3 linked regions of the Oryctolagus cuniculus genome follow. The protein of the gene in region 1 binds, or shares a complex with, the protein of each later gene. Links are inferred from orthologs where the notes say so. Each region holds a gene or a part of one and is shown on either strand. Other genes may lie near its edges. The genes, in order: SUPT16H, SSRP1 and MCM2.

The links.
Region 2: SUPT16H (region 1) and SSRP1 share a complex: the UniProt entries of both Homo sapiens proteins name them as parts of the FACT complex. The link is inferred for Oryctolagus cuniculus from reciprocal best matches to the Homo sapiens genes SUPT16H and SSRP1.
Region 3: the proteins of SUPT16H (region 1) and MCM2 are in contact, whole or in part, in a crystal structure (PDB 8YJF), measured with the Homo sapiens proteins. The link is inferred for Oryctolagus cuniculus from reciprocal best matches to the Homo sapiens genes SUPT16H and MCM2. Residues at the interface, in NP_009123.1 of Homo sapiens: Gln898, Ser899, Leu900, Asn901, Lys904; in NP_004517.2 of Homo sapiens: Ile73, Gly74, Asp75, Met77, Tyr81.

The regions. Positions count from the first base shown.
Region 1 is NC_091443.1:53,548,807-53,559,185, reverse strand, and holds the start of SUPT16H (FACT complex subunit SPT16), read right to left. Parts: upstream 5,851-10,379; 5' UTR 5,135-5,850; coding exon 5,069-5,134; intron 1-5,068. Other genes in the region: CHD8 (chromodomain-helicase-DNA-binding protein 8), read right to left, coding at 6,771-7,337, 9,195-9,311, 9,714-9,893, 10,081-10,194. UniProt on the Homo sapiens protein: Component of the FACT complex, a general chromatin factor that acts to reorganize nucleosomes. The FACT complex is involved in multiple processes that require DNA as a template such as mRNA elongation, DNA replication and DNA repair.
Region 2 is NC_091432.1:14,781,480-14,791,638, reverse strand, and holds the start of SSRP1 (FACT complex subunit SSRP1), read right to left. Parts: upstream 6,148-10,159; 5' UTR 6,060-6,147; coding exon 6,006-6,059; intron 5,575-6,005; coding exon 5,389-5,574; intron 4,412-5,388; coding exon 4,306-4,411; intron 4,054-4,305; coding exon 3,863-4,053; intron 3,774-3,862; coding exon 3,543-3,773; intron 3,011-3,542; coding exon 2,907-3,010; intron 2,803-2,906; coding exon 2,674-2,802; intron 2,445-2,673; coding exon 2,223-2,444; intron 1,535-2,222; coding exon 1,462-1,534; intron 1,046-1,461; coding exon 907-1,045; intron 802-906; coding exon 756-801; intron 1-755. Other genes in the region: P2RX3 (P2X purinoceptor 3), read left to right, coding at 8,599-8,717. UniProt on the Homo sapiens protein: Component of the FACT complex, a general chromatin factor that acts to reorganize nucleosomes. The FACT complex is involved in multiple processes that require DNA as a template such as mRNA elongation, DNA replication and DNA repair.
Region 3 is NC_091441.1:110,390,851-110,400,521, reverse strand, and holds part of MCM2 (DNA replication licensing factor MCM2), read right to left. Parts: intron 5,592-9,671; coding exon 5,498-5,591; intron 4,388-5,497; coding exon 4,137-4,387; intron 4,036-4,136; coding exon 3,909-4,035; intron 3,530-3,908; coding exon 3,417-3,529; intron 2,823-3,416; coding exon 2,574-2,822; intron 922-2,573; coding exon 739-921; intron 600-738; coding exon 444-599; intron 119-443; coding exon 8-118; 3' UTR 1-7. UniProt on the Homo sapiens protein: Acts as a component of the MCM2-7 complex (MCM complex) which is the replicative helicase essential for 'once per cell cycle' DNA replication initiation and elongation in eukaryotic cells.

The sequences.
Region 1 (10,379 bases):
CTGTGGCGCCAGCATCCCATACAAGTGCTGGTTTGTAACCCAGCTGCTCCTCTACCAATCCAGCTCTCTGCTTACAGCCTGGGAGAACAGAAGATGGTCCAAGTGTTTGGGACTCTGCACCTGCATGGAAGACCCGGAAGAAGCTCCTGATTGGCCCAGTTCCAGCGTATGTGGGGAGTGAACCAATTAAGACCTCTCTCTGTCCCTCTATCTGTAACTCTACCTCTCAAATAAACAAAGTCTTTTTTAAAAAATTGTATGCATTAATTAAAATGATTTTTAAGATGAGAATCAAATAAAATATTGTAATACAGGTGATAAGGAATTGGCAACAATTGTGAAGTTGGGTTTATTTTTTAAAAATTTATTTATTTGAAAGGCAGAGTTAAGACAGAGAGAGGGAGAGACAGAGAGAGGTCTCCCATCCCCAGATGGCCACAATGGCCAGAGCTGAGGCAAAAGGAGGTTCATCTGGGTCTCCAACTTGAGTACAGGGGCCTAAGCACTTGGGCCATCTTCCAATGTTTTCCCAGGCCATTAGCAGGGAGCTGGATCAGAAGTGGAGAAGCCAGGACTCAAAGTGGCACCCATATGGGATACTGGCACTGCAGGCAGCAGCTTTAGCTGCTACACCACTGTTTTGGCACCTAAACTGAGACAATTTTGGGGCCAGTGCTGTGGTGTGGCAGGTTAACACCCTGGCCTGAAGCGCCGGCATTCCATATGGGTGCCAGTTTGAAACCCGGCTGCTCCACTTCTGATCCAGCTCTCTGCTATGGCCTGGGAAAGCAGTGGAAGATGGCCCAGGTCCCTGAGCCCCTCTACCTGCATGGGAGACCTGGAGGAAGCTCCGCCCCTTGTGGCCAATTGGGGAGTGAACCATTGGGTGGAAGACGTCTCTCTCTCTGCCTCTCCTCTCTCTGTGTAACTTTGACTTTCAAATAAATAAAATAAATCTAAAACAAACAAACAAACAAACAAAAAAACAAACCTGAGATAATTCTAACAATAAATGACTTATGGTTGTGGGGAGCAGTCCGGACTGGACTGAGTTACTGGAATTAAGACTTATTCTATGCATCTGCTCTCCCACAATATGGCGCTGGGAGAGAAGTAAACAGCTTCTGCACAGCTGCCTCCAGTTCAACCAATAAACTGTGGGGCTTGCTCCTGATTGGAGGAGAGCAGCGTACTCGGCGTGTGGGCAGCCGAGTTGGGATTGGCAGAGGAGGACTATAAAGGAGGAGAGAGATGGCATGCACCAGGAACATCTAAGGGGAACATCTGAGGGAACACCTGTGCAGCCCCCGAGAGAGCCGGCCGGCGGTGTGCCGCTCCCCTGCGGAAGTGGGGAATGTGGCCAGGGGGAACTGCCCTTCCACGGAGGTGGAAGGGATAGTAGCCAACCCGGGAAGAACCAGCAGCAAACCCGGGGAGGGCCGAGCAGACGAAAGAACAGCGCAGGGTCCTGTGTCGTTCCTCCACGAAGAGGGGGAGCGACATAATGGTGCCGTGACTCGGATATGAAGCCTAGGCAGGGCTTAGTGTTGTTCCTCCACGAAGAGGGGGAGCGACAATGGTCACATTAATTAGCGCCAGAAAGAGATATGCCAAAGTGCAGAAATCAATTATCACAGTTTCTCATAGTTCCTATGCCAGGAACGAGTCAGTAAAAGGGATAAAAACGAAACATAATAAGTATGTAATTAGGGGCTGGCCTGCAGTGCTGGCATCCCATATGGGCATCTGTTTGTGTACTGGGTGCTCCACTTCTGATCCAGCTCCCTGCTAATGTGACTGGGAAAGTGGTGGAAGATGGCCCAAGTGCCTAGGGACTCTGTATCCATGTGGGAGAATGGGATAAGCTCCTGGCGTTGGTCTGGCCCAGCCTTGGCCATTGCCGCCATTTGAGGAGTGAACCAGCTGGTGGAAGATCTCTTTCTCTTGCTCTCTTCTCTCTCTCTCTGTGACTCAGCCTTTCAAATAAATAAAATCTTAAAAAAAAAAAAAAAAAAAAAGTAAAGTATTGAGGCCGGTGTTGTGGGACTGTGGGGTAAGCCTCTGCCTGCAGTGTTGGCATCCCATATGGGCATTGGCTTGAGTCCTGGATACTCCTCTTCCGATCCAGTTCTCTGCTATGGCCTGGGAAAGCAGTAGAAGATGGTCCCTGGAAGAAGTTCCTGGCTCCTGGCTTCGGATTCACTCAGATCTGGCCATTGTGGCCATTTGGGGAGTGAACCAGCAGATGGAAGATCTCTCTGTGGCTCTATCTCTCAAAAAAAAAAAAAACTTAAAAAAAAAGAAAAAGTATGTAATTACACTACAAAAGTTAGGTGAGCAGGAATAAAAATATCCCCGACTTGGCATTTACTTCCATCTAAAGAGCCCTCTTTATTCAAGAAACCATAACATTACTTAAAGGTTTCTTGCTTCTATTCTAAAGATAAAGGAGCTGTAAAGAACTGAGATGGGTGGACATAATCCATCATCTTGCTGGAGGACAACCATTGACTTTCTAAAAGTAATACAGGAATTGTCTATATTAAAAAAATAATCCTGAGTCACAGAAGATAGTTGCCTAGTCTTAGAAAACTGCCCAGAGCAAGAAACCGCACCACCAGACAAACCAGCTAAGAGCTAGAGGACAGCACTCGAGAGAAGCACCGACTCTAAGCTCAGCTTACTGTTTCTTCACTGGCACAAATCTTTTTGAGGTCACAGTCACTCACTACCCCAAACCTGGGAACTGACATAGAACGGCACGAATGAATGCACTAGATCAACATTCCTTTTGAAAACAGCTGCTATTCTGACATTTCTGGTAATTCTTCATGAAGATTCATTCGTTCAGAGCAGAAGGTCCTAAAGGGTAAGTCTCAAAGGATTAATAGGTATGCCTGAGTACCATACTCTTACCCTTCAAAGCAAGTGGAGTCTCAGAAGGGTAGGTAATCTGTTTTGTGTTCCACAGAGAACAGTACTAATCCCACTACTTGGTTAAAAATTATCAAAATAAAGGCTGGGAATCCCTGAACAAGTTCAACTGGACAGGAAACCCACAACCCTCTTCCATGATCCACCACTACCATCTGGGATTTTCTAAGCAGAAATGGATAGGTTCCATAAAAACTATTCTGTTGTTAGCAGCTCTAACATAGAAGAAGCAAAGACTGTACTGGATGAGATGCAAAGGTCCAACAAAAGTCACAAACAGTAGTTGTTATGTAGGTCTCCTATTTGATTTTGACCAAACATATTTTCTCATCTTTAAAATGTCAGCTCTCTGTACAGGGTATCATATCCAGGGGTTTAACAAACCATGCATTGAAAATATCTGAGGGAAAGAAAACTGCTTCTGTACTGAAAATGGACTTTTTGGTTATCATTCCCTAAACAATACAGAATAACAACTATTTACAGACTATTCTGCTGTGATAAGTATTATAAGTATTCTGGAGACAACTTAAATCACACAGGACAATGTTCATGGGTTATATGCAAATACTACCATATTTTATATAATGGACTGAAGACTATTAGATTTTTAGTACTTGTGAAGAGGTCCTGGAACCAGGCCCCCATGATACTAAAAGATGGAATTATTTATTCAGACATAGGCTTAACATTTTTGATGTTTCTATTCAGTTCAAATATGTGATACTGCAATTGTTTTCAGGTCATAAGCTATGAAAATTTTAACTAATATTTGCAATAACCCAAAAAGGAAATAATTTGAGGAATTCTGAATTACTAGCACTTGAACCAATTCCCACATCAAAGGTGTTAATTCCAGGGCTCATAGGTGGAAGAGGGCTTCTAATTATTACCATACACAAGTACTTATTCATTAGAAAATATTGAGACTTTACAAAGCTTTTCAAACAGACAACTTTGAGTTATAAAATTGTGAGAAGTTGCAAAATCTGCTAGCTAATAAGAAATTTTAAAAACATAATTTACATTCAGCATTTGTCTAGCATAGAGTTCTTCTGCTTTTCATAAAATACAGCAGTAAACCCATTTTCAATTATCTAATGCATTTATCTTCAGAAGATAAAACATGCACTCAAATTTCTAGTATGAATGGCAGGGAAATAACCCATTTTCACAGCCGCCTTTTAGTAAAGGTTTAACTGTTAAGATAATCTACAATGTTGGAATCAGAATTGATCACGTTTGTCAAAGACGTTTTTCAGGTCTAATATAAGGCAATATTCCTTCCCTTGACGATAGGGTTCAAAGGTAAGACGCAAGCTGGACAGCTTAGGTTGAGCCACAGAATGCAATCACACGTTCAATTAATAAACATCATAAAAATAACTTTTAACTGTGGACGTTTTAAAAGCAGCAACATTGCCCAGTCTTTACAAGACCAGGGACGGCCACAGCTTTTACTTAACACGTGCCTCGGATACACTACCAAGAAAGAAAACTAGTAATTAGGTTTGGGCTTCACAGCGTTGTTTTTCTATTACTAATGCCTGCAGGTTTTCAGCGTTAGATTTCTGTTACCAACGGCAGGGCCTAGAACACGAAGCAGTTGCGCGTGAGCAGTTATTTCTTTTTTTAACTCCAGCAGAAGCCCCGCAAACGATGAACACGAAGAGTCAGATGCACATCCTCCGTGCCCCTCCACCCCTCCTTCACGAACACGGTTGTAATTCTGGCGGGACCAGGGGCGGAAAACCGTGGCTCTGGAGGGACAGAGCGAGTGCGTGGGTGCGTGCAAAATCGCAGGTGGGGGCACCGAGACGTGATCGCAGGGCGGGAGGGAAGGATGTTGCCTCGTCTAGGGCGGGAAGCGACGGCGAGAGGAGGCGGTTATGCATGACCGGGGCTGGCACGCGGGGAAGATGGTGGTGGCCGCAGGGCAGGGCGACTGCGGGGGATACCCTGGTACCCTGCAGCACTCGCAGGCGCCTGCGGGGCATGATTCAGGGCAACGAAAAGGGCGCGACACTGAGCCTGGGAATTCCTGAACGAAAGGGAAAAAAGGGCGCCGAGAAACAGGGTTATTATGGGATGGTTGAGGGGGGCTCCCTAGGGAAAATCACGGGACTTTTCTTACCCGCCAATTGCTGTACAGTCTCTTCACCCGCCGATAATAAGCGTCTTTGTCCAGAGTTACAGCCATAGCCCCGGACACCGCTTCTCCTCGGGTTTCGAGAATCACGCGAGGTCCCGGCTCCGCCAACCGCTCTCGGCCCCGGAATCCCGCACTCTCCCAGTGACCCGGAAGTATCGACCTCAAAGATGCCCTTTCCGCTTCCGGGTCCTGAGTGTTTGTTTTATTGTTTTGTTTTTTAAATTCTCTCTCCAGAGAGTCGGGATAGGAGGAGAGAAAGAAAAAGACTGGGGAAAATCACCAAAATGTGCAAGGCGAAAGGAGTCGATTTTCGCGGGGTTTCTGGTCAACTTCGCCAGAGCGCACGCCATGGACGTCATCACGTGACGCTTTGCCCCCGCCCTTACTCTCACCCCGCCGCGAGCTCCCGGAGCGCCTGCTTGGTGGAAGCCGCAGCCGCCCGGCGAGGCAGAAGCGGCGCGAGATCTGACGTGCGCGCCCCGCCTCGCAGGAGCTGCCGCGCGGGGCCGTGACGGCCCCACCCCATCGGCAAAGGCGGGGGAAGCGGAAAGAGCGGGATCTAGCGTGAGATAGGAGAGGGAAGACGACCGTGCCACCGGCTACGCGCCTCTGCCAGAAATGGTGAGGAAGCACTGCTTTAGGGCAGGGAAGCTCCTCGGGGCTAGGACGCTAGGTCCAGCGCTCCTCCGAGAGGGCTGAGGCGCCCAGCCTCGCGACAGATTACAACGCGTGCGAAGGGAGAGCACTTGGCCACAGAAAGGAAAATAAAGTGCCCAGGGTTTATCTGAGCGGTGGGATCGTAGAAAGGTGGGAGGTTAACAGAGATGGCTTGAGGGCTCCACAAACCTTCATGGTTTTTTCTTATAACCCCGAGCCCACGTCGTGGGAGCATCGTTTCAGTTAGTGCCCCTCACTGCGGCTCATGAGAAGCGGCACCATTCCACAGCTTCCCCCAAAGCACCACTATTTCAGTGCAGTAGGGAGAGAATGTACGAGATTCTTGACAGATTCTTGGTTCTCCTTTTCCTAAGAACGAACTCGGAAGTTTGAAACATTTTACCTTTCACCTTAAATCATTCCCTTGTGTTTAGCAAGCTGGGCATTTGCATTTACATATGGCATGAAGTGTTCGGTCCAAGGTAATTTAGTATGAACAGTGCTAACTTCAGGGAAGTGGTGTTGAAGTTACCCACCATGAACATCATCTCAAAGTCAGTACTCATCCTGAGCAAATATAGAACAAGGGAAGAGTGGAAAAGGATTAACTTAAATTTATTAATGCCAAGGGGAAGGAAGGTAACAGTTCCTGACCCTCCAGCTGTATCCACAGTTCGGCCAGGAACAGGCTCTGCCAGAGGCGAGGGCCAGCGCTACATAGTCTGTGGTTAATGGAGGTGTCTAGGGAGGGGTGAGCGCACCAGCAGCTCTAGTCTCCTTTCCTTCCCCAGCAACGAGGAAGTGGTCATGTATTATTTTAGGAGTTCCCCTGCCCACCCGATCCTCTCAAAATTGGGAGCAATCAGGTACAGGTTTTTTTTTTTTGTTTTGATTTTTTTCCCTTTCCACCTCCTGGAGTCCTGGGTTTCCCCACATCTCCCCTGCCCCTCCCATTTCTTCATAGTCCAAGGGCCAGAGTAAATGAAAATACAGCAGCCACCCAAGCAATGGGGACCATGCTGAGGCTTCAGTCATCAGCATCTTCACTGGAGTCTGAGTTGGCTGGCATCATAGGGTCATCAATGAGTGAGAAGTCCCTTTCTGAGCTATCATAGCCCTGAGATAAATCATCATCATCTTCCTCATCCTCGTCGTCGTCATCCTCCTCAGGTTGCAGTGATGGCAACCGCAAGGCAGTACCAGAGGTGGTAGTCGCTGGTGAAGAGGGGTAGCCAGTGGCTCTCAAGCCTGGATGGTGATGGTGGTGATGGTGGGGGTGGGGGTGGTGGTGGTGGTGATGAAGCATGGTGCTGGAGTCTACATGAGGGGATGATGCTGCACCACCCATCACAAATGGCATAAAAGGCAAAGATGCAGAAGTGGCACTGCTGTGACCCAGAGATGACACAGACTGTAGGCCACCACTGCTGTGTTGGAAGGTGTTATGTAGAGATAAGGACCCAGTGCCTCCTCCCTGCATCAGGGCCATCATCTTAGAAAGGTCTGGTCGCGTCCTGCGGGCCCGCTTCTTGCTGCTCTCTGGTGCAATAGGCCCTGGCAAAACCCGGTTGAACACAGTTTCAGCATGGTGACCCTGAGAGAAAAAAAAACAGAAGACAGTAAAAAGAAAGAAGGGGCAGGAGAGAGAGGAGAAGATAAAGATGCCAGCGGAGTCCTAGCTCACAATTTTTTTTTTACTGAATCTGTCATAAACGAGGTAAAACAAGTATTATGGCACTAGGCTTGTCTAGTGGTAATGGGGAACAGGAAATAAATGCTGGACTCAGCTGGTGGAAACTATGATGCTGAAGCTAAGATTAAGGATTTGATACTGATATGTGAACCAGAGATTATTGCTTTTTCCCCCCAGGGACTATATTATACCTTTACTCCAGCCAACCATTTCAAATGTGCAACTTTTGTTAATAAGGGGTATAGGTAAGGCAGTGAATGAGTCAGCACATGCACACTTAAGTGTCTATTGAAGCAGGTTACTCTCATGATCTTAATACATGAAGTACAGCATGACTATATTGATATTTACAGTATTACTCTCTAGTATTACACCTCAGAGGATAAATTCAAGACAGTCATAAGGAGACTTCTACATACCTAGAACACTAAAATAATAGGTAGCTCCTCACCATATTCATATATCTGCTGAATTTTAAATGGCTTCTTCTGGATGGTTCTGACTACAGATACTGATTAAGTTCACTGAAGTTGGAAATTATTACTTTTAGTGCCTCTGCTTTGTTACTTGCCTTAGCACAACATGGGGTTAACTGGGATTAAATGCTTATAGCAACTGGTACCTCTCTGCACTGTTTCCCAAGCTAAGCCTAACATCTAATAAGGGAGCATACCTTTATAAAACAAACATCATAATATTAGTTTCTATGGATTTTTTAAATAAACTGTAATAACGCTTGAACTCTACAGGTCTTGGTAATAACAATGCTAGATTCACTGTCAATTCTGCACTAAGAATTCTGTACTGGTCAAGTCATATTATGTGCTGTGACTTCCTGTGATTTAGCCTTTCTTAAGGTTGTCAACTGACCTTGTAAGGGAGTTGCAAAAATACTTGGGATAAAAATAGGCAATACTGGAGGAAAAATCTTTTTTATAGATTGTTCTATACAGTTAAGACAAAGATGGCATCAGTCTTCCAGCCCCCAGCCTTTCCAATATCAAACATTATACGTATTATACTCTTGGTCTCATGGTGGCTAACAGTGAAAATTAAAACATCCTACCACAGTAATATTTTTACCTATATAAAAATGATAAGCCTCAAAAATCTATTATGTGCTGATTTTAGAATTTCTGCAATATAAAACATTATTAATTTGAAATTAATTCTGTTAAAAGATCCACCATGTGGTGTTAATAGATTATATAAAAATCAAATGGAGAATGGTTAAATCAAGTACAAAGATACATGTTCATCTAGATAACTGCCAGCAAACCAAAGCATGATCTATACATATATGCATTAAAAATGTAACTGCTGCACAGAGTAAGGTCATTTTAGCCAAAAGAAAAGTTTGCAGTAATATTTTAGTGGAAAGAAAAACTATGGATTCTTACTATACCAAGTGGTCTATAACCATGATAAAAGCATAACTAAATCTGGGAATTCTGAATGACCCAATGACCAAAATTCTCATTATGATTATAAAACATGGTTTCCTGTGCTTTTTCCATTACTGATATTTTAGTGGCTTCTAATGTTGTATATTGGGAGACCCCATGTTTTCCTTAGGAGGGCCCCCATGTCACTTCTGAAATATATCAAACAATTATGGAAAATTCACATTATCTTTTAATCTACTTCTCCATCCACTTTCTGAAGCCCCTTCAGAATTTTGAAACTTTTAAGAGATTACCTACTCTAGCTTTGTAATACTGCAGATACCATCGGACAGAATGGCAACGCTCATCTCACCTTTTTGCCATTCCTAGAGTTAGCTGTCTGTATTGGTTCCATTCCCAAACAGTTCAAGTCAGCTTTATTATTTTTTTTACATCTCTGCCACTTCTGTTTTCTGCGATCCTCCATATACTGGAATAGAAAACAATGGATTATTCCAGAGGAACTAAAATATTCTCTGAAGTAACTATCAAAGTATTAGTGTCTTTTGTTTGACAATAAATGTTTTATTACACAGATAAAGGATTGATCCTAGTGGAAAACTGCCATTAAATGAATCTCTCCCCCTCCCCCAAATTAGGTGGTTCATATAATAATTTAATAGTAGATATTTAGCTAGCATTTAGTTTAATAAGTGCTTTAACATCCTTTCACTTTAATACTCATAACTATTTTGTGAGGTAGACTGGGTATTATTACTCTTATCTTGCAGATACAAAAACAATGATATAATATGGCATGCTTTCCCTTTAACACACAGCTTCAATACCAAGGGAATTACTGTAAATCTTGCTGGATGGAACTGCCACTCACCGCTAGAAATCGGGGATCAACAGCAAACTCTGGATGACCCTGTAACCACATCTCCAGTTCAGCCCGGCGAGGGGCATCCTCACCCACCAGCAAAGTACCATCCACCTTATTGATGACAGGGATCCGGGTCTCCAGGTCCACATCAAGGTGATTAGGCTCTTCCATGCACTCCACCTCCAGCTGCAAACCCAGAATCCACCCCCATGAGCACATACTCTTCTTTGGGGCAGGGAAGGAAGGGGAACAGAGCCAATGGCAGTCATGATGTAATTCTAATATCTTCTAGTCCCTTAATCCCAACTGCCTTCAGCAATTACTGGGAATGTTAACACCTTATCTAGTCATCATGTTAAAGATTATCACTTACCTCCACTAACTTCTTTCTGTTCCCCTTCTTCTTATGAAAGAGTGGATGTCCATCTCCTATTACTCCATTAGCCATCAACTTGTGCTTCTGGAATGTTAACTTTAATCCTTCCTCCTAGGAAGACAACCCACCCACCCAAGACATCATATGGCACAAACTTTTAAAAGTAAAGATTAAACTTTGGGGGATTTGGACTAAGGGTCATTCTCTGGCTCAATGATGGTGAGAAGGCAGGCCATCATTAAAGGGGAGAAATGAGAAATACACACCTCCTAACACACTTAACACACATCTTCCTT
Region 2 (10,159 bases), on another chromosome or scaffold:
TCACAAGCATGCGGCATGCAGCGCTCGCAGGCCCCTGCTGGGTGGTTTCTGCTACCCACTATTCATGACCCACCCTTCCGGGTTGAGAGTCCCAATGTTCTGTCAGGCACCACCAGCCACACTCTAAGGGTGGGCACGTGGCCTGGGTCGGGCCCCCTCTGCACACCTCCTAACTCAGGCTGAGGGGACAAGTGATCACACCTGCTCACTAAGCAGCAGACTGGAGGCAGAGGCACCTCTGGGAGCTACACCAGTAGGATTAAGCCTGCCCAGGGCTTCTAGTCATGTGGCACCTCACGGGGCAAACCCATCTAGCACTAAGGAAGAAACACTAAGTACTCAGATTCTCCCTACAACTTGTGAGCTCCTAGATCCCACAGTGCCTGAAGCCAATTACTATTCCGACTCTCCAGTTCCATGAAGTTAGACAAATCCCCAAGTCCAAGTCACATTTCTAACGCTGGCAATCCAAAGTCCTGCCCGAAGGCTACCACTGCCATTTCCAGGTGAGGAGGCTGCAGCCAAGGACTTATCCAGGCACACCCAGAGAGTAAACAGGGAAGCACCAGTTCTCGTTCCTGTCCTCTCCCCCACTGTACCTTTCCTGCTTCAAAACATGCCTGCACTTACTTATAAAGCCCTGACAATTCTGAAACATTTTCATGTATCACCTCACTGGAGGTCACTTTCCTACTCTGGGTCAGTGGCTAACGCCAGGACCTGAGAAACGTCCAGAAATCTTAACCAAAACTCACTCCTCTGCCACATCTTCCTCCTCTTCACCTGGGTTGAACGACTCATCTGCAAAAAGACACAGGATTCATCAGCTTCTGCCCCAACGGAAATCTCACTCCCTTAACCCTGGCACCCAGCGACCACCCCATGCCCCAGCAGAGGCTGGCCCACCAGTCTCTTCTCCTGAGTCATCGCTGCTGTCGTTGGCATTCTCTTCCCGGATCTTGCCCTCCTCCTTCATCCTCTCCAAGTAGGCATCATGCTGATCTTCATCAGAGTCTGCGTATTCGTCGTAGCTGGGGTTCATGCCCTGTCCAGGGAAGAGATGCAAGTGAGGCCCAATCTGCCCTTGAATCAGACTCTGCACACTCACAGCACTCCCCCATGCCTGTAAAATCAGAAGCAGCTCCCAGGAGTCCCTGGGGCTAGCCTGTCCACACACAGCCAAGGTGCAGGGCCTGTGCCCATATACTGCCTGGCAACTGGGTTAGCCCAAGCCCCTCCCACTCCCAGCCCCACAGTGGGGGCTCTTGCGAGGCTGCACAGGCTGAGTCTAAGGTCATGCAGAGGAAACCTGCATCAGGAAGGGAAAGGGTCACACGCACCTCTTTTTTCTACAAGGGTAAGAAGAGAAGAGAGTGAAAAAAGAAGCCAGAAAAAAAATCTCTCCCTTTTCTCTCCTACAAAAGGGACCAGGAGAGCCCCAGCCTTCCCACACAGAGATACCTCTTTCAAGCCTCGGTTTTTGATGTTGAGCTTCTTTGCGTTGACAAAATCAAACAGCTTCCCATACTCCTCCCTGTGAGGGGAGAGGCACCACGTCACCAGCTGAGTAGGGCAAGACTAAACGATGCTCAGATACCCAGAAGCTGGGGTGGACTGTGGGCCTGGAGCGCTGAGCCACACCGTCGACCCCAACAGCTCAGAGAGCAGCCTCAGAGGACAGCAGCCAGGAAGAGTCACAGCTGAGTCCTGAAGGAGGAGCTCTTGAAGGTCAGGACGGACGGAGGTTACCTGTTCACCAGGTACCTACACTGCAGGCTCAGACTGTCCGGGCAGGGGGCCGTGCACCTACTCCCTGGCCTGTATTTCATGCTTCACCAGCTTGTTACTAGGATTAACCACGAAGACGTTCGGTAAAACATTTAGCCCACAGGGGACACTCTACACTCAGGGGCAGTGTTCTCAGACAGGAAGCTCACTCCAGGAAAGACACAGCGTTTCCATCACCGGCAGACTGGAGGAGAATCAGGGCTGGAATCAAGTGCACGCGGCTTCCACATAGGGAAAATAACCTTCTTTTGAAGAACAGAAAGAAAGCAAGAGAGGCTTCCAAAGTCTGAGGACTCCAAGGAGAAGGATCAAACCTCAGAGAAGCAGAAGAAAGAGTCACGGGCCCAGAGAGGGCCCCAGGCCCGGCCAGGCTTCCCAGGGGAGGCTGGGTCAGGACGGGGGACACCCAGGCAGTGACTGGGGGAGGCTCTCACCTCTCAATGCTACTGAAGGTGTACTGAGTGCCCTGCTTGGTCTCAATCTCGAAGTCAAAGGAGCGCGTGGTGGTGGTGCCACGAGCAAAGTTGACGAAGGAGATCTCATCAAAGCGGATGTGCACGGGGGGCTTGTGGACATAGATGAAGCCCCGCTCCAGCGGGTACAGCAGTCCTGAGCTCGCCTTGTAGGAACAGGTGATGCACTGGGCCCCTGAGTGCCTGAAGGAAGGAGCAGGGGGCCGACTCAATGCCAACCTCAGCAAAGCCAAAGGGCCCAGCAGGCAGCTGCAACACAGGTGAGCTCCAAGCCTCAGCCCGGTCAGTCTCACTCGGCTGCTCCAACAGACACCAACCACCGTCACGACACGCGATCCCATCTGCGAAGGGGTCCGCCACGGAGAGGGAGCATTTCCCTTCCCTGGACAGGGAACCCGGCTCGCATGCTCACCCTTGGAAATTGCCCGGCACTGTGATCTTGCGGTTCACCAGTGCTTTCATGACCCGGCTGACCATCTCGTAGAGGGATCCTGACATGTTCTTGGTGAGCCGCCCCTCAAAGCGCTTCTCCACCTCTTCCCTACAAACAGAGCAAGATCACATCACCGGCATTAGAGACTTCTGCCAGCATCATCTGCCTCCTGCCTGCACAGCGGCAGGACGGGAGTCCAGGGAGACACTCACTCATTCATGTTCAGAGTCAAGGAGATGTCCTCGTCCTTGGAGAACAGGAGGATCAAGAAGTGGTAACGGGTTTGGCCCTGCTTGATGGGAGGATCCAGGCTGATCTGATAAGGAACAGCAGACAAGGTTAAGCACCAGGCGGGGCTCCACCAGGACTTCTGACGGACCAATAGTGAGACCTGCACCTCAGTGAGACCCAGTCACAAAGTCCTCAGACAGGCCGGCGCCGCGGCTCACTAGGCTAATCCTCCGCCTAGCGGCGCCGGCACACCGGGTTCTAGTCCCGGTCGGGGCGCCGGATTCTGTCCCGGTTGCCCCTCTTCCAGGCCAGCCCTCTGCTGTGGCCAGGGAGTGCAGTGGAGGATGGCCCAGGTGCTTGGGCCCTGCACCCCATGGGAGACCAGGAAAAGCACCTGGCTCCTGGCTCCTGCCATCGGATCAGCGCGGTGCGCCGGCCGCAGCGCGCCAGCCGCGGCGGCCATTGGAGGGTGAACCAACGGCAAAAGGAAGACCTTTCTCTCTGTCTCTCTCTCTCACTGTCCACTCTGCCTGTCAAAAAAAAAAAAAAAAAAAAAAAAAAAAAAGAAAGTCCTCAGACAAAAATCGGGATCCTCCGCCCCCAGGGGCTCTGCTCACCACAAAGAACATCTGGCGCTGATCCTTGTGGGGCAGCAGGAAGAGACGCAGTACCGTGGTATAGGGGATCTTGTAGTCAAAGGTCTTGCCGTGCAGGTGCAGAAAGGTGGGGTAGATCCGGATGTCGTAACGACCACGGGGAGTCAGGCACTGCAGCTCCCGGAAGATGCAGATGGCGTCTCCAGTGGCCTGGATGACGTCCGCCTTGGACAGCACGTTCTGGGCAAAGGCCTGCCGAAGCACACACTGTTAACCCGGCAGCAGGCCAGCCCATGGCCTGCTCAGCCCCGTCTGCACCGGGGCGCCTGGGGAGGCCTCACCTCCACGGGATCCACGCCGTCCTCCTGGGTGGGAGGCACGTAGAAGCGGACCTCCATGAGGGACACCTCCGCGTCGTCGTTCTGGTGGAATTCCAGCGTCACCTCGTTCTTGCCTGTGGTGCACTGGGACACGTTGCTGAGGGGTATCTCGAAGACCGGCTGGTCACCAATGTCAAAGGAAAGCAGCTGCCCTGTGAGAAGAGGGCTGCTCAAGCCTCAGGCTCCCCCCACGTCTGCATCGACAAGAAGCCCACCGAACCTGGAGTTCCGTAAGGGCGGGGTGCCGGGGCTGTTTGTTCACGCTGCACCCCGAGACCAGGCACAAAGCCTGACACACCACAGGTGCATTGAGCAACCCACCCGACAGGAAACCGGAGACTGTGGCAGAGGAAGAGAATAAGAAAGGCTGCAGCCCTTGATCCTACCTGCTCCCCAAGACTCACCTCCAAACTTCACCGTCCCCCAGTTCCAGCCCTTCACACACAGGTCCTTCTCCATTAGCTCAAGGCGATAGTGAGTTTTGAAGAAATCAGAGAGTTTCTCAAACTCCTATGAGTGGAAGGGAGAAAGTGCAACCACAGTCAGCTCCAGTGGCCTTAACCGACACGAATGTCCTGACATTACCTATATCCAAAAAATTGCCCCAATAGGACTTCTACCAAAAAATCCATGCAGGGAGCTGGTGCTGTGGCACAGCCTGCAGTGTCAGCACCCCATAAAGGTATTGCTTCAAGTCCCAGCTGCTCCACTTCTGAACCGGCTCCCTGCTAAGGCGCCTGGGAAAGCAGAAGATGGCCGAAGCCCCTGGACCCCTGCACTCACATGGGAGACCCAGAAGAAGCTTCTGGCTCCTGGCTTCAGCCTGGTACAGCCCTGGCCTTTGCAGCCATTTGGGGAGTGAACCAGTGGATGGAAGATCTCTCTCTCTCTCTCTCTCTCTGTAACTCTCCCTTTCAAATACATAAATAAGTCTTAAAAAAAAAAAAAAAAAAGTCCATGCTGACTCAGCAGCTCAGCTCTGAAATGGTTTAAAAGGTTGTGGAGAGAGGCTGCTCCTGGGAGCTGGACCTCAGACTAGGGGAGGAGTAAAGAGAGGGACTGGCATTCCTGTTTCTGGACCTCACCATGTTATCTGACTTCCTAAACTTTGTGTGTTCATTGTTTTAATAGAAGTGGACATTAAAGTTAAGTCTTTCACTCAGAACAGTTTAAGAGGGAAAAGCAAAGCCTGAACTAAAGCATCCAGCTAAGATTCTGAACCTGGATACGAGCAAACAAGCAGAAAGCACGATTTAAACCAGAACAGTAGGAAGCAGATCTTCTGGAACCAAAACACAGAAAAGCTGTGAACGCTCTAGAACACTCAGAGCTGACCCACTGATTGCTCAATGGCCTCAATGGCCCTGCCCAGGGAGCCAAACCAGCACCACGGGGGCTACCAGAGGGAACCTCAACTCCCTCTAGAAGACTAAAAGCAGACAGGATGGCACGGTAAAAAGGGGGCTCACGGCAACAGGGCGTCTCACCGATTCTCGGAAGCCGTCATACTTGTAGACGTGGCCATTCTTCGTGAGCAGTTTAAGTCCGTGGCCGAGAGCCACCCGGCGCCAGATGCCCTCCGTCAACTCCCCAGCCTGGATGTTGTCTACTTTGCCCGTCTTGCTATTCTTGAAGATAATTCCCTGGCGACTCAACCTCAGCCGACCGTCATTCTGTTGGGAAAGTGAGCCCAGATGCACGGGGACAGTACAGACCGTGTCCTGGGTGCAGCTCTACCCAGCATTCACTTTGACTGCCAGGTGATCAGGGCAGGAGCAACAGCTGAAGCGAGGACCAGTAAAGAGACACAAGTGTCCAGGAAGTCTCGGTTCTGCACCTGGCTCGGGCATCCAGAACCTGCGCAGGCCATCAGTCTCCTCGTTTGAAACACAGAATAGCAAATACGGTCCCTTCACACCCTGAGATCCTACAACTCTCGCGACTTTTCAGAATTGCCTTTTATTGGGGGGAAACACCAGGTGCACGTTATACAGAGACTTCCTTTTCCCAGTAGAAACGTCACCAGGACAAGCTCTCGTTCATGTACATCAACTTTAGCTCGCTCCCTCCTTCCATCTCTATTAAAAACGCAAGCCCTTCTCACCATGGAGCCTTTCACCTCCTGATAGACATCGTTGAACTCCAGTGTCTCTGCCATGTTGACCTGCCCCTGGTGGCCTGGGCAGAGCCCTAGGCCTCACAAGGGAAACCGAATACACTGGGCGCTGGGCCCCAAGTCCTGGGTGAGTGTGCAGATGGTCAGCAGGTTGGGAATCTGAATTCAAGAGAGAGTCATGAAACGCAGCGCCGCGCTCTGCTCACGGATGGAGCCAGGTGGCCGCCCCTGGGGGTTCACAGACTCTCCTCTGCCCGGGAACCAACAGGCCGGCTGTGCCGTGCTCCGGGGGTCAGCCCCGGTAATCCCAGGCCCGCAGAACCACCCCAAGCCAACACCCTCTCTGCGCGCCACACCGGGAGCCATGGTAACGAGCAGCGGAACCCCAAGGCCTGCCCGCAGCGTGCACATCTCCCGCGCCCCAACCCAGCTCAGAGCGCTAGGTTCCATCCTGGCCCTCATGGTTCTCCCCTCCTGCTAAAATGGATTCGCCCGCTGCCTGCAGATTCGAACGCGGAACGGCCCATTCGGAGCGTCCCGCGGGGGAGCGGGGCCCAGGGACGACGACCACCCACCTCCTCAAGCTGCAGCCTCGCGACGGGCCGGGCGCGGGCGGTGGGCGCTTCGGGGGATGCGGGGGAGGGGGGCGGGGACGCGGGGAACGGGAGTTAGCTGGGGAAGCTTTTCCCGCGTGCGCGGCCCCGCGTCCCGCCACCGGAAGCCGCGCACTGACCATCGAGAGGATGAGCTGGCTAGAGAGACGCCAACCAGGCCCGCCGCAGAGACAGTCGCCTAGAGCGACGGCGACGCTGGAGGACCCGAGGCCGGGGCGGTAGCGGTGAAGTCCGACTGACTAGAAAATGAAGGCTCATCGGGCTTCTTAGAACGTTGCGGACACGTCAAGCGGAGACTGGATCCTAAAGGGAAATCGTGTACCGTGGCTTTATTTTTGTCAGATTTCGGAGGTTGGGGGGTTAATTTCTGTAGGGGTTAATTTCTAGGGGTAGAAAGGAAGCTGTGGAACACGAAGAAAAATACCTCAGAGTTGCGGAGAGAAACGCGTGCGGGCGTTCGTGTCCTTTGTGGCAGGCCTGCTGGCCGGCTGCCCCCTGCTAAGTGGGATTGATCCTTTCTGAAATGAGTTCACCGTCTACACCCAAATTCTGCACCTCTGTAACCGCAGTGGCGCTGGTAGTGACTGGCAAATGGCAGGATCGAGTTCGAGCGCTGGTGTCGGGTTCACCTTAGAGCCAGAACTGATTGGAAACCACATGAGCTCATCTTGGAAGAGGTGCACCTTGCAAAATCAGAGCCGGCCTGAGCTGGGAGAGAGGTTTGGAGTTTATCTCCTCCAGCCTCCTGCGGAGAGCAGTTGCCCAGCGGCTCTGGGAGTCGGCCACCCAGGTGGAGACAGGAAGCCGCCTCGGACTCCGGTCCCGTTCTCTTCTGCTGTAACCACAGTGGTTTTACGTCCCGAGCCACTGAGCCCATGTGTCCTGCAGAAAAGCATTCGTTACACGGGATATTTAAACTCAAGATTTCCCTGACGCTGGTTACACCAGCTTGCTAACTCAGTCCTGGGATAAGAGACAACACACCGTTGCCCCCACCACCACCCCAAAATCATGGCTTTTAACCTCTGGGTAGTGGCTATTCTAACATTATCTGAATATAAATTCAGTGTACCGGGGGCTGTAATTAATCCAACACACTTCTAGGATTTCAGTGAACAAGCTGAAAACAACTCCAGCCTTCCAGGGAAGCATAATCCAACAAATGACCTGAGAGTGTGTATATCCATATAACTGCTATATATATATATATATATATATATATATATATGTATGTATATGTATATATAACTGCTGTATAAGTTTTATATATATATGTATATATAACTGCTATGCTACAGGTAGAGCTTTAGCTGTGATCAACTGCAGTTTAAAAATATGTGACTCTATGCTATTTACTCCCTCCCAAGAGATCCAGGAAAATATTGAAGACACACCCTCCCCCCCAACTCATGCTGTTGGAGGCAACTCAGGGAGGGAGGGGGTGGCTGCAGAATTGGGTGGAACGAGACAGGCACTCACAGATGAAAGGGGCTACCCAGTTCAGGCGGATTATTAGGTGGCTGGGGGATGGGGCATTTGCAAGGGGCTTTAGGGAGAGCTCACAGCAGCTGGTGAGCTGGGATGAGGATGCAACAGAAGAGATCGGAACAGAAGCGATAGACAGAGTGCAGATAAAACACGAGTCCCAGAGGGCCCTAGCCAGCTGCATCCCAGGCAATCAGGAGCCCAGGCTTGGAGACCCCACCCCTGCCGTGACATCACAGGAGAGTGGGGTGGAGACAAATAAAAAGGGGGTCCCCCGCCCTGGCCCTGGACTCTTGGCAGCCAGAGTGTCAAGAGCAGAGAGAGCCTGGGCACTGGGCTGGGGTTGTCTGGCTTAAAGGAACAGGTTTCCCATTCCTGGAGCCCCTCTGAGCTACCTGCTCCAGGCTTCCTGGCCCCGAGGACCTGTCTTTCCTGAGCTGCCATTGGGCCCCTTCCCAGGGGCCCCTGAGCTCTCTGGCAGCATGAACTGTGTATCAGACTTCTTCACCTATGAGACCACCAAGTCGGTGGTTGTGAAGAGCTGGACCATCGGGATCATCAACCGAGCCGTGCAGCTTCTGATCATCTCCTACTTCGTGGGGTGAGTCTGTGACCCTGTCCTGGTGTCCTGCCCTCCCTCCATCCCACAGGGCTGCTCTTCAGGTTTACGGGCTTTGCCTTTTGGGGGAAACATTTTGCACTGTGCAGCCACTTCCTACAGACTAGCGTCAGCCCCACGCACTGGGATCTGGCCCCCAGGTGAATACTTTTCCCCAGTAAGTCCTCCAGAGTTGGAGAATGACTTCTAGATCCACACTCCAAGGAGTGGGGTCTTTGGCCTGGCACTGCCCTCCACCGGGAGCAATCCCAGGTGGCCCCTCTCCTCTACTTTCTCTCTCTCTTCCAGCCACCCCCCCACCAGAGAACAGCCAGCCCCTCCCCACATCCTCCCAGTCCCCTCAATCAGCTCTTTGGGGTCTCAAAAAGGCGAGGGAGCCTGGGGGAGGCCTGGAAACAGGGGAGATGGTAAGGATTGGTCGGTTGATGGGATTCATGGTGGGTGAGAGGGAGGGAGAACCGCTCTGCGTTGGGACGAGGAACTCCCCTCCTGGCATGGGGAGACGGTGAGAGGGCTTGGAAAGGGGAGAAACCCTTGTTCTTGGAGGCTAGGACAAAGATGGAAGCTGCCCCCTGAGGTGGCACAGATAACCACTCAAGGGGAGAGTGTCTGCAGAGGAGAAAGGTAGTGTTCCTAAACAGAGTGGGGGTCCCTCTGCAAGAATCCAGAACTGCCCGTTGTCAGACAGCACAGTTTCCCTGCTTCTGCCCGCCTTGGTGCCTGATAACCCAGCCTGAGCTCCTGGCAGCTGGCCAGGCCCAGACAACCCCTCCCGGCCCCACCTCTTGGAGGCTCACACCTCCATACACACAAAGGGCCATGGACCAGACAGCAGCTGGGGGTAGCAAGAGGGAGGCAGGAAAAAGACAGGTTCTATCTTTCTTGTGGTCATTTCCACGTAGCAGTGGGCACCTGAAAACATGGGCAGAACCTCAGAAGTTTTCTTTTCTGGTGTGTGTGGGTGCCTAGTTTCACAATGCTTCTCACAATGTGTGTGAGAGCAGCCAGGGATTGCCCATCATGAATGAATTCAGGCAAGCGATGGAGACATCCTGAGTGTGTGTGTGTGTGCAGGAGCCTGCTTACATGAAAGATCAGAGTAGTGGGTAAGGATGTACGTGAAACAATGGGAAGATATTATTTTTAAGCAAATTTTTTTTGCTCCACATGCTTGACAAAAGCCCGTAGGCTTCTGTTTGAGGATACTGTAGCAAGGGTGCGCATCCAGTGCTCCTTGCAGGGCTAGCAGAGTAGCTTTGGGGAATGGTTGAACAGCCTGGTATTCCCTTCCAGTACTGAGGTTTGGTGAGATGTGATGTTTGCTGATGTTCTGCATCTGTATCTCCCGAGCACAGTTCAAAGTGGGTTCTTAAACATCCCATGTTTGTGTGTTTGCTCAAGGCTGGGACCATTTATAGCCAAGA
Region 3 (9,671 bases), on another chromosome or scaffold:
CCGGGCCTCAGAACTGCTGCAGGATCATCTTTCGCTTCAGGTCATGGCTGAACTTGTTCATCCTGAAGAGCTCACTGTCGTAGAAGGCGGACAGGTTGTGGATGTTGATCTGCCGAGCCTGCGAAGAGCAAACGCGGAGTGAGCCGGGCCGTGTCCCCAGAGCAGGGGAACCCGGAGGGGCAGCGACCACGGGGCCGGAGCCGGGAGCCAGGCTTCCAATCTTAGCTCCACCGCTGCCGTGGAACTTGGACAAGTTCCTTGGTGGCCCTGTGCCTTTCTCTGCCTCTAGGAAATGAGACAAGATCAAGCTGCCACACACGTGGAATTGTGAAAACTCAACAAACGGCTATCATCAGAGGCCGGTCCGCTCAACGACCCCAAGATGTCACTAACAGCTCCCAAAGCAGCACAGCCCGACCCCCACCTCCCACCCATGCGCATACCTTGTCCACCAAGTCCTTCTCGGGCACCTCGATAGTGTCCTGCTGGGCCCCGAAGCGGTTCCGCTGGTAAGTCACCTGCTCTGCCACCAGCTGCTTCAATATGAAGAGCAGCAGCTCGTTGTTATCCCGCCGGAACGACAGATAGCGAGCGAAAGTCTGCGGGAGACAGCACAGTCAAGCGCCGCTCCCCACGCCTCACAGCGCCAGGTCAGGCCGCCGCCGGGCAGCCAGGGCGCCGGCCACCCGCGGCCTCCCGGGCCGAGCTGGCCCGCGGCCACGCCCCCTCCACGCCCACCTTCCGCATGCTGCGCATGACGCTGAACTTCTGCGTGTCGATGAAGCTCTCCAGCATCACGCGGATGGCCATGTTCACGTCGTCCTCGATCACGTAGTCCCGCAGGTGGATGCGCGCGTGGGCCTCGGCCATGCGGATCATGGACTCGATGTGCCTCACCGTGATGGGGATGCTGCCCGTCGCCTGCGGGGGAGGACGGCGTCGGGTCTCTCAGGGGGGGAGGAGAGGCAGGACAGGCAGAGGGGGCACTCTGGGCAGCCAGAACCAGGCAGGCTTATCTCACAGAGCGAAGGCGCCAGGCCAACTCATGCTCCCAGCTCTGTCTGTCTGAATTTTTTAAAAGATTTATTTATTTATTTGAAAGGCAGAGGCAAAGAAAGAGAGAGACAGAGAAATCTTCCTTCCGCTGGTTCACTCCCCTAACGGCCGCAACGGCCAATCTGAAGCCAGGAGCTTCTTCTGGGTCTCCCACACAGGTGCAGGGGCCCAAGGACTTGGGTCACCTTCTACTGCTTTCCCAGACCACAGCAGAGCTGGATCAGAAGTGGAACAACCAGGACTCAACCCGGTAACCGTATGGGATGCTGGTGCTACAGGCAATGGCTTTACCCGCTATGCCACAGCGCCAGCCCCTTCTGGGTCTTTCTTAAAACATGAAGGTGTGCAGTGCATGTTGGCCGCTCACATCTGCAAGGGGTTGCTCCCCCATCCGACCTCAACACAGCTCAGAGCTGGTCTTATCTGTGGCCAGCTGTAAAATCTACTGTCACATACCAAATACCACATAACCCAGTGAAATGTCACTGAGAAAAAAAGTAGTTTCTACGAAAACTGAGTTGAATGCTCTGAAAGACATGGTAAAACTAAAGGGCAAAAACAACAACAAAAAAACATGGCTGCCTTGAGTAGGTGTGGGCAGGAAGAGCCACCCACGAGGATTCTGCATCCCAGCTGCTTACGAGCTGCCCTGAAATTCTTCCTCCCAGGGTGGACATCTGGCACAGTGCTTCAGACACCACTTGGGACACCCACGCCCCATGTCAGAGTGACAGCATTCAAGTCCTGGCTCCACTTCTAATTCCAATTTCCTGTAAATGGGCACCATGGGAGGCAGCAGGTGATGGTTCAAGTGCATGGGGCCCCGCCACCCAGGCGGGAGACCTGGACTGAGTTCTGGGCTCCTGGCTTTGGCCTGGTCCAGCCCCAGTGGTATGGACATCTGGGAAGTAAACCAGTAGACGGAGGAGCTCTGTGTGGCTCTCTACCTTTCAAATAAAATAAAGTAGTAAATAAACAAAAATTTAGAATGAAAGGAATAAGGGAAATAAAAGAATTCCTGCTCCATTCATTATGAACTAAAATGAAACCTGGAGCTCAGATCTCACGTTGATCTGGGTGAGATTTACGCAAAGCCGATGTGGAATTTAACCAGAGAAGGTCAGAGTCTTGTGGCTGACTTAGGATGACGGTTGGTCAATCCAAAGACCTTGGCCCTACCACGAGGCAGGCGTATGCCATGGTTTGGCGTAATACTGGGAAGGGGTGCCTTTGGTAGACCAGTGAGCCGGCAGGAGGGATCAACGCAGGGGCCAGCAGGTTCCTGCAAGGCTTCGGCAGCCGGCTCTCCGCTCCCCTCCCGCTAAGTGACCTCTCACCCTTCCTTCCACCCGCTATCACCACCAGCAGGTCCCAGAGCCTCTGTTTCCCAAGCTCCCAGTCGCGGGTACTGTTACAGAAAATGGCGTAAAAGAGACCAAGACCACAGAGACGTGCCGCTTTCTGCACTGCCTTCCTGCCCCGTGCTCTGGGGACTGAGCACACAGGCCACCCCTCACCATGGACTCCTTCCGCAGGTCGCTGTACATCTTGGCCACCTTGTCCTGGTCCATCTGATTGAGCTTGGGGTGGACCTTCTCCTTGGCATAGATGATGTACTTCTTGAGGACCTCCTGCGGCAGCGGCTCCACGCCGTACGTGTTGGGCAGGGCAGGCTCCGCGGCGCTGCCGTTGGCCAGCCCGTCCTCCTTGTTGCTGGGGTGGTGTCTGACGTGGCTGCCGACCACAAAGCGCGCCAGCATCTCATCCTACGGTGGGGAGGAAGGGGGGGGGGGTCAGCCCGAGTGGCGTGTGCGAGCAGAGCGACGGCCTCTCACCAATGCACGCGTCACACCCTCTCGGTGCAGATTCGGGTGCCCGCTGGGAGATGTCACACAGCTGGGAGGAGGCGAGGAGTTCCAAACTTCCAGGACAGAGAGCTTCATGTGCCGGGAAGAAAGACAGGAAGGAGAGGAAGCAGGCGGGTGCAAGCAGAGGCAGGGAGCAGTGCGGGCAGTGCGCCACCGGCCGGCGACAGCCCAGATTTCACAGGGTCCGGCAGGAGAGGGACGGCCACGGCTTCTCATCTCAGTGGAAAGCCACAAGCTGGCCGATAAGCAACTTACACTCTCAGGCCTAAGGGCAGAGACTCACTGCAAGGTTGAGGATTAGGCTGGGAGGGCAGCCAGGGAGCGGCCGGTGGAAGAAAGAGAAGTCAGGACTTTTGGACATGACACAAGACCGAGAGAACAACACTGGACAGCAGGCCACGCCCGCGCAGTGCCCATTTCCCTGCACCAGGCACACTGCACGGCCCTAAGCCTCACACGAGGGCCCCAGAACCCCAGAAGAGGCGGCTGTACCTGGACCGGGTCCACCGTGTCCCTCACCACGCACAGGACGTCAAAGCGGGAAATGATGGGCTCCGTGAGGTCCACGTTCTCAGAGAAGGTCAGTGAGGGGTCATAGCGTCCTCCTGAAACACAGGGTACCCTGCATCACAGCGAGTGCCCCCAGCCTCCATCAGAGGGGGAGCGGACGAGGGCGTCGGAGGGAAGGAGGACACGGAATGGCCACGCAGCACCTACTGTCCATCAGGCAAAGTGCTCTTTCCACAAGCAATGCTTGAAACAGCCTGAAGAGCAAGTCTAACAAGCTCAGACCCAGCTCTGCCCCAGCTAAGACGATGCCCCCTCCCGGGGACAGCCACGGTGGGTCCAAGACGCGGGCTCTACAAAAACACCCGTGCCTCCACTCTGACCTCCTGCCCTCTCCAATAAGACGCGCGGAAGGGACCCCATGCTGCCCAGTGCCCCACGGCAGGCCCCAAGCCCAGCAGCTGCCCCGCGGGGTACCTATGGGGTTGGCGGCGGCGATGACGGTGCAGCGGGCCTGCAGGGAGGTGACGATGCCGGCCTTGGAGATGGAGATACTCTGCTGCTCCATGGCCTCGTGGATGCTGGTTCTGTCCTGGTCGTTCATCTGCCAGTCGAGGGCCCAACCGTTAGCAAGGCCCAGCCCCCACCGCCGGTCTCAGGCGGGCCCAAGCCGAGTGCCGAGGCCCACGCCACCCAGGGACCCACCTTGTCAAACTCATCGATGAGACACACTCCTCGGTCGGCCAGAACCAGCGCCCCGGCCTCTAAGGTCCACTCCCTGCTGACGGGGTGCCGCTGCACATAGGCTGTGAGGCCCACAGCTGACGCGCCCTGGCCGGTGGTGAAGATGGCCCGGCTGGACACCTTCTCAACGTATTTCAGGAACTGAGACTTCGCCGTGCCAGGGTCTCCACACAGAAGCACGTTGATGTCCCCCCGCACCTTGTGCTTGCCACCTGGAAGAGGCACGGGGCGGGTGGGGGGCAAGATGGGTGCACCCCATCCACCCCTCAACCTGCTTATTAGCAATGGCAAAGGCGCAGCCCCCTGACAGGGAGGGGCGGCCCCCACCAGCAGTCTTTCCGTTCTGAGCATTTAACCCTGAGGAACACGTCCGGGGACGCAGCCTGCACAAGGCATCCTTTGTGAATGTGAGTGTGCACAGCAGTGAGTGATTCAAATGTACAACCGGAACTAAAGAAACCATGCTATACGGACCAGGACACGGAGACTCAACCGGAACTAAAGAAACCATGCTATACGGACCAGGACACGGAGACTCAACCGGAACTAAACAAACCATGCTATACGGACCAGGACACGGAGACTCAAGAATGAGCCTGCTCTGCAGGCTGCAGGGGGGAGGTCAGCTGGGTGTGTCGGGGTGGGCAGGGCACGGGGCACACGCACAGGGAAGCCTGCGTTTGCAAATATCAATGCGCACGTATGTCAGGAAGCCCCTTGTTCACTGCACACATCGGTTAACATTGCCACAAGGGCCTGGAGCACACACAGCAACCTGACTGGGAGTGACCTACGGCAGGGAGGGACCCGGGGCGAGAAACAGCAGTCTAGGGTAGGCGGTGTGGTGCAGCGGGCTAAAGCCTCAGCCTTCAGTGCCGGCATCCCATATGGGCCAACTAGGGAGTGAACCAGCAGGTGAAAGACCTCTCTGTCTCTACCTCTCTCTGTAATGCTTTCAAATAAATAAATCTATCAAAAAGAAAAAAAGGGCAGTGTGTGCTCATCTTTTATCAAAATGTAAAATAAAGATTTCTATGCTACGGTTGTAGCTAAAGCTTAAACCTAAGAGAGAAGCAAAGACTAATTTGTTCCAAGCACAAGGGCAGGCAGCCGTGGAGTTGGATCCCCCAGCAGCCTGAGGAGCAGTGGCCAGGGGCTGTCCTCCCTCCTGGTGAGCGGGTCACACACACAGCCTGACCCACTCTCTCCACCCAGCGCCCACGTGGCCTTGCCTGTTACCACAGTGCTGGCTCCCCAAGACACTGGCGGAGCAAAAGCCGCTAGCGCCCTGGAGAGGAAGGGGTAGTGCCCGAGCCACTCACCTGGGTTTTTGGGCTCCCCTCCAAACAAAGCCAAGGCCAGGCCTCTCTTGATGTCTTCATGGCCATAGATGGAAGGCGCTATACTGGCAAAGATCTGAGAACAGGGAGGGACACCGATGTGAGTGCTCGCTCTGGCCCCAGCTCTCAGGCACCCGGCCCACCAGGCCCTGCCCCGACGCGGGGCCTTCCCATCAGTTCTACCAGACAACCACAGACCCATGACTCAAAGACCCCTTTACTCTCTTACGCCAGGAAGTAATTTCCCAAGACCACAGATCAAGAGTGGAGATGAGGCGAGAGCCGCATCTGAGAGCAGGGCACCATGTGGCGGAAGTCAGCCCATAACAGACACGGGGGCGGGGGGTCTTCACCACGCTGCCCCGCCCCAGCCTGTGTCATCACGTGGCAGAGAGACAGGCAAGTGCCTGGCTCATGGCTGGGCCACGGTCAATGACCAAGACTGCACATCTGGGAGCTGTGTCCACCAGAGGCTGAGACTGCCAACTCACTGCAACAGCTCTCGAGGGTGTGTGCAGGAGAGAGAACGCAAATCTGCGTGAGTTTTAAAGACAGAATTAGAGGCATCAAAGTTCTTGCTTGGAGGAGCTGCAGAGCTGAACCTTGACCTTCGGTGCCACCTCCCCACCCCCATCCCGGCCAGCAGGAGCAGCACGGAATCCCCACACTTCCCTCCTTCCAGGACAAAGCAAGGAGGAGCTCAGACGGCACCAGGGCCCCGGGGAGGAGGGCACCGAAGAAGAAAACCGGCAGTGACGGTGGAAGAGGAGGCCCACCCCACCTGCCAAGTCAGACGTTCCTGAACACCGCGTCCCACTGAAGACTTCCCACTCCTCGGAGAAGTGGCCGACACCGGGTCTGAGCGGGAAAGGTACAAGAGCAGCCTACGGTATCTTCTGCCAGAAACCCAGAGAGGCAGCTCAAAGACAACCAGGGTGGGGTCAGCAGGACTCTTCGAATCCAACACGACAAAAACGGGCCACTCTGAGCTCAGTGAAGATGGCAACCACAAGACAGACCACAGCGCCACTCAGTAAGGACGCGCCACTCACGTCGTAGGACGCTGCAGAACCAACTCGCCATTCTGCAAACTGGCAAATCAAAGAGGAACGAGCGAGCACTCGTCCTGCGCTTCCTCCTGGGGCTCGACCTGGTGTTAAACACAGCTCACAAAGACGCTCCTCCTTGCCAAGGATTCCCGGCAAGTGAGCCTCCTCTGGCAACTCCTCGTGACCCAGTGGCCCTGGCCAAGGATCGCCCCGTCCCTGGTGGCCACTCCCATCAGAAGGAAGTCCGCCCGTGAGAGCCAGGGCCCCCACACAGAAAGAATGAAAACCAAACAGAGTCTGACTCAGCTTCTCTAACTGACGCCAGTTTACTGACGCACAGGTGACCGGGGCCTGTGTTCAGCCAGCACAGGTCAGCAACATCTGGACTCTGGGAGACTCAGCAGGGGAGACCACCCAGTGTCTCCCAAACAACTGAAGGGGAGTAGGGAGAAGCAGCGGCCTGAAGATGACGAGATTCAGAGATGAGCTTTAGAAATCAGTCATCACCGTGGGCCCTTTTTGGAAGCTGGCTCCAAGAAGCCACTAACATCTAACAAACGTTTTAAGGATTTATGTATGTGAAAGGCAGAGTGCTGGGGGGAATAGGAGGTGGGCACAGAGGAGAGAGAGAGAGAAATCCTATGTCCACAGTCACTCCCCCGACAGCTGCAAGAGCCAGGGTGGACCAGCTGCAGACAGGAGCCAGGTATCTCCCGTGGTGGCAGGAGCCCAAGCACGTGGGCATCATCCGCTGCCTCCAGGCCCACGGGCAGCAAGGTGGACTGGAAGCAGAAGAGCCAGGACTGGACGCCAGGGCTGCGAGCTGCGGCTTAACCCGCTGCGTCACAAGGCCAGCCCCCACACCGATTTTTAAAGGTCAGACATTCAGAGACATCTAACACAGTCCCAATCATTCACTGTTTCTCGAGTGTGATAACCGCATCGTGGTTGGGTTAGGCCTCGTGGCCAAGCTGCCTCTGCCCCACACTGGAGTCCCAAGGTCCCACTCCTGGCCCTGGCTCCTGGCTCCAGCTCTGTGCTGCCGCAGACCCTGGGAGGCAGCAGGTGGCGGCTCAGGCAGCTGGGTTCCTGCCACTCCTGTGGACTGGACTGACTTCCTGACTCCTGGCCTTAGCCACTGCAGGCACGGGGCGGGCAGGGAGACTGACCCAGCACATGGATGCTGTCCCCCCCCTCTGCCTCTCGAAAAAATCACCCAGTCTGTGGCACTGCTATAGCAGCACAAAATGGACTAGACAGACGAATTCATGACACCATTCCACACGCATATGAAGTTTTCTGACAGCCAGCTCTGCAGTGTGAACTAAGCCTTGCGTTATGGAGTGCCCCAGGGACCTCCTCGTAACCAAATAAAACGAGCTGTGGTGACCGGATGAAGCAGCCACGTGAGAGTCCAGGGAGCACGGGCTCCCCGACTGCCAAGGTGGAAATCCTTATTTAACCCCTTGTGCCTCAGTGTATTCGTCAGCAAAACGGGCCCAGAGGACACCTCCAGCGTTTGGCACTACGTGGAAATCACCTCGACCGTTCCAGGCAAATACCGAGTACAGAGTTCTCTTGTTAGACGCTCACTGTGCGGAGACCACTGGGCAGACAGCCTCCTCACATGCCTGCACCCCTGCTGGGCGGGCTAAGACTCCAAGCCTTGACCTCTCTCCCCTGGACACCGCCCGCTGTCGTTTTGGCAGTGGGCAACCCTGCAGGATGAGGTAACGTCTCCCTCAGTCCCAAGGGCGGCAGGCATCCTGCTTCCCATGCGGGGCAGAGTCCCCAAGCCCAGGCCGATCCTGTACACACCGCGGCGGTGCCAGGCAGGCCTTCCCGGGCGCCAGCAGAGCAAACACGCGAATGCCCACACTGCCCGTGTGCCCTCTGCCACTGACCCGGTCAGCCAGGAGACGGACGGGCTCACTGAACAGCAGGTGAGTGGCACAGAATCTAATCTCGAATGCGCCAAGGAGTCACAGTGTTGCAGTTACCCATGGACAGGGACTTCACAAATACTGATTCAGTCTAGCTCTTTCCTTCTGTGTGGGCCAGACTGAAACGAGGAGCCCAGAACTCCATCTAGGACTCCCAGAAGAGCGGCAAGGGCGCAAGTTCTCGAACCATCATCCGCTGCTTCCCAGGACGCCTTAGCAGAGGATGGGAAGTGGAGCAGCTGGGGCTTCAAACCAGGAACTCCAAGACAGGGTATGGGTGTCCCAAGTGGCAGCTTAACCCATCGCACCACAACGCCTGCCCCTTGCGTGGTCTTTTAACAACTCTAGTAGGTCCTCTCACCCCCCACTTACAGACGAGGGCGGCTTATCTGGTCGTACGAAGGATTAGGCCAAAATCCACAGGAAGTCTGGCTGCACGCCGTGTGCCTCTCCTGTTACATCTGTGTCCAGTGTGCCACGTACCTCCTTAATACTTGACCCCATCAGTGCCCAGGGCCCTCAAAATTCAATGCCCCCCAGAAGGCAACCTGAGTCTCAAAACAGAGCTCACCAGGCTGGACAGAACTCCAGAGGGGGTACAGAACACGCTGGAAGGCACATGCCCTGCCGCATGGCCCTAGTCAGCGTTGCCAGAGGAACAGGGACCAGTAATCAGAGACTAAGACTTTGAAAAACCCAGACGCCCAGATTCTCATGTGACACGAACATCAAAGCAAACTAGAGCCACGTGACCACGTGGGATGCCTGCATCCCTACCGGGGCACCAGTCCGAGTCCAGGCTATTCCTCTTCCAATCCAGCTTCCTGCTGGTGCATCCGGGATACAGGCGATGGCTCGAGTACCTGGTTTCCTGCCATTCACCTGGGAGATTCTGGAGTAAGTCCCAGGCTCCAGGCTTCAGCCTGGCCCTAGCTGTCATGGGCATCTATGGCTGCGTGAGAATAAGGGCCATGTCTGCCTTACCCGGGGGCGGACTGGCACTCACAGCAGCCTTCCCGTGGCACTTCCTCAATGACAGCAACACACAATGAAACAAGCAGCCCTCCTCTGTGGTCCCATCGCTAAGGCATGATTCTCTCCTTCACCCTCAGACTAAAAGACCGAATCAGGGATGACTAGGGGTGGGAGACGGGATGGGGTGAG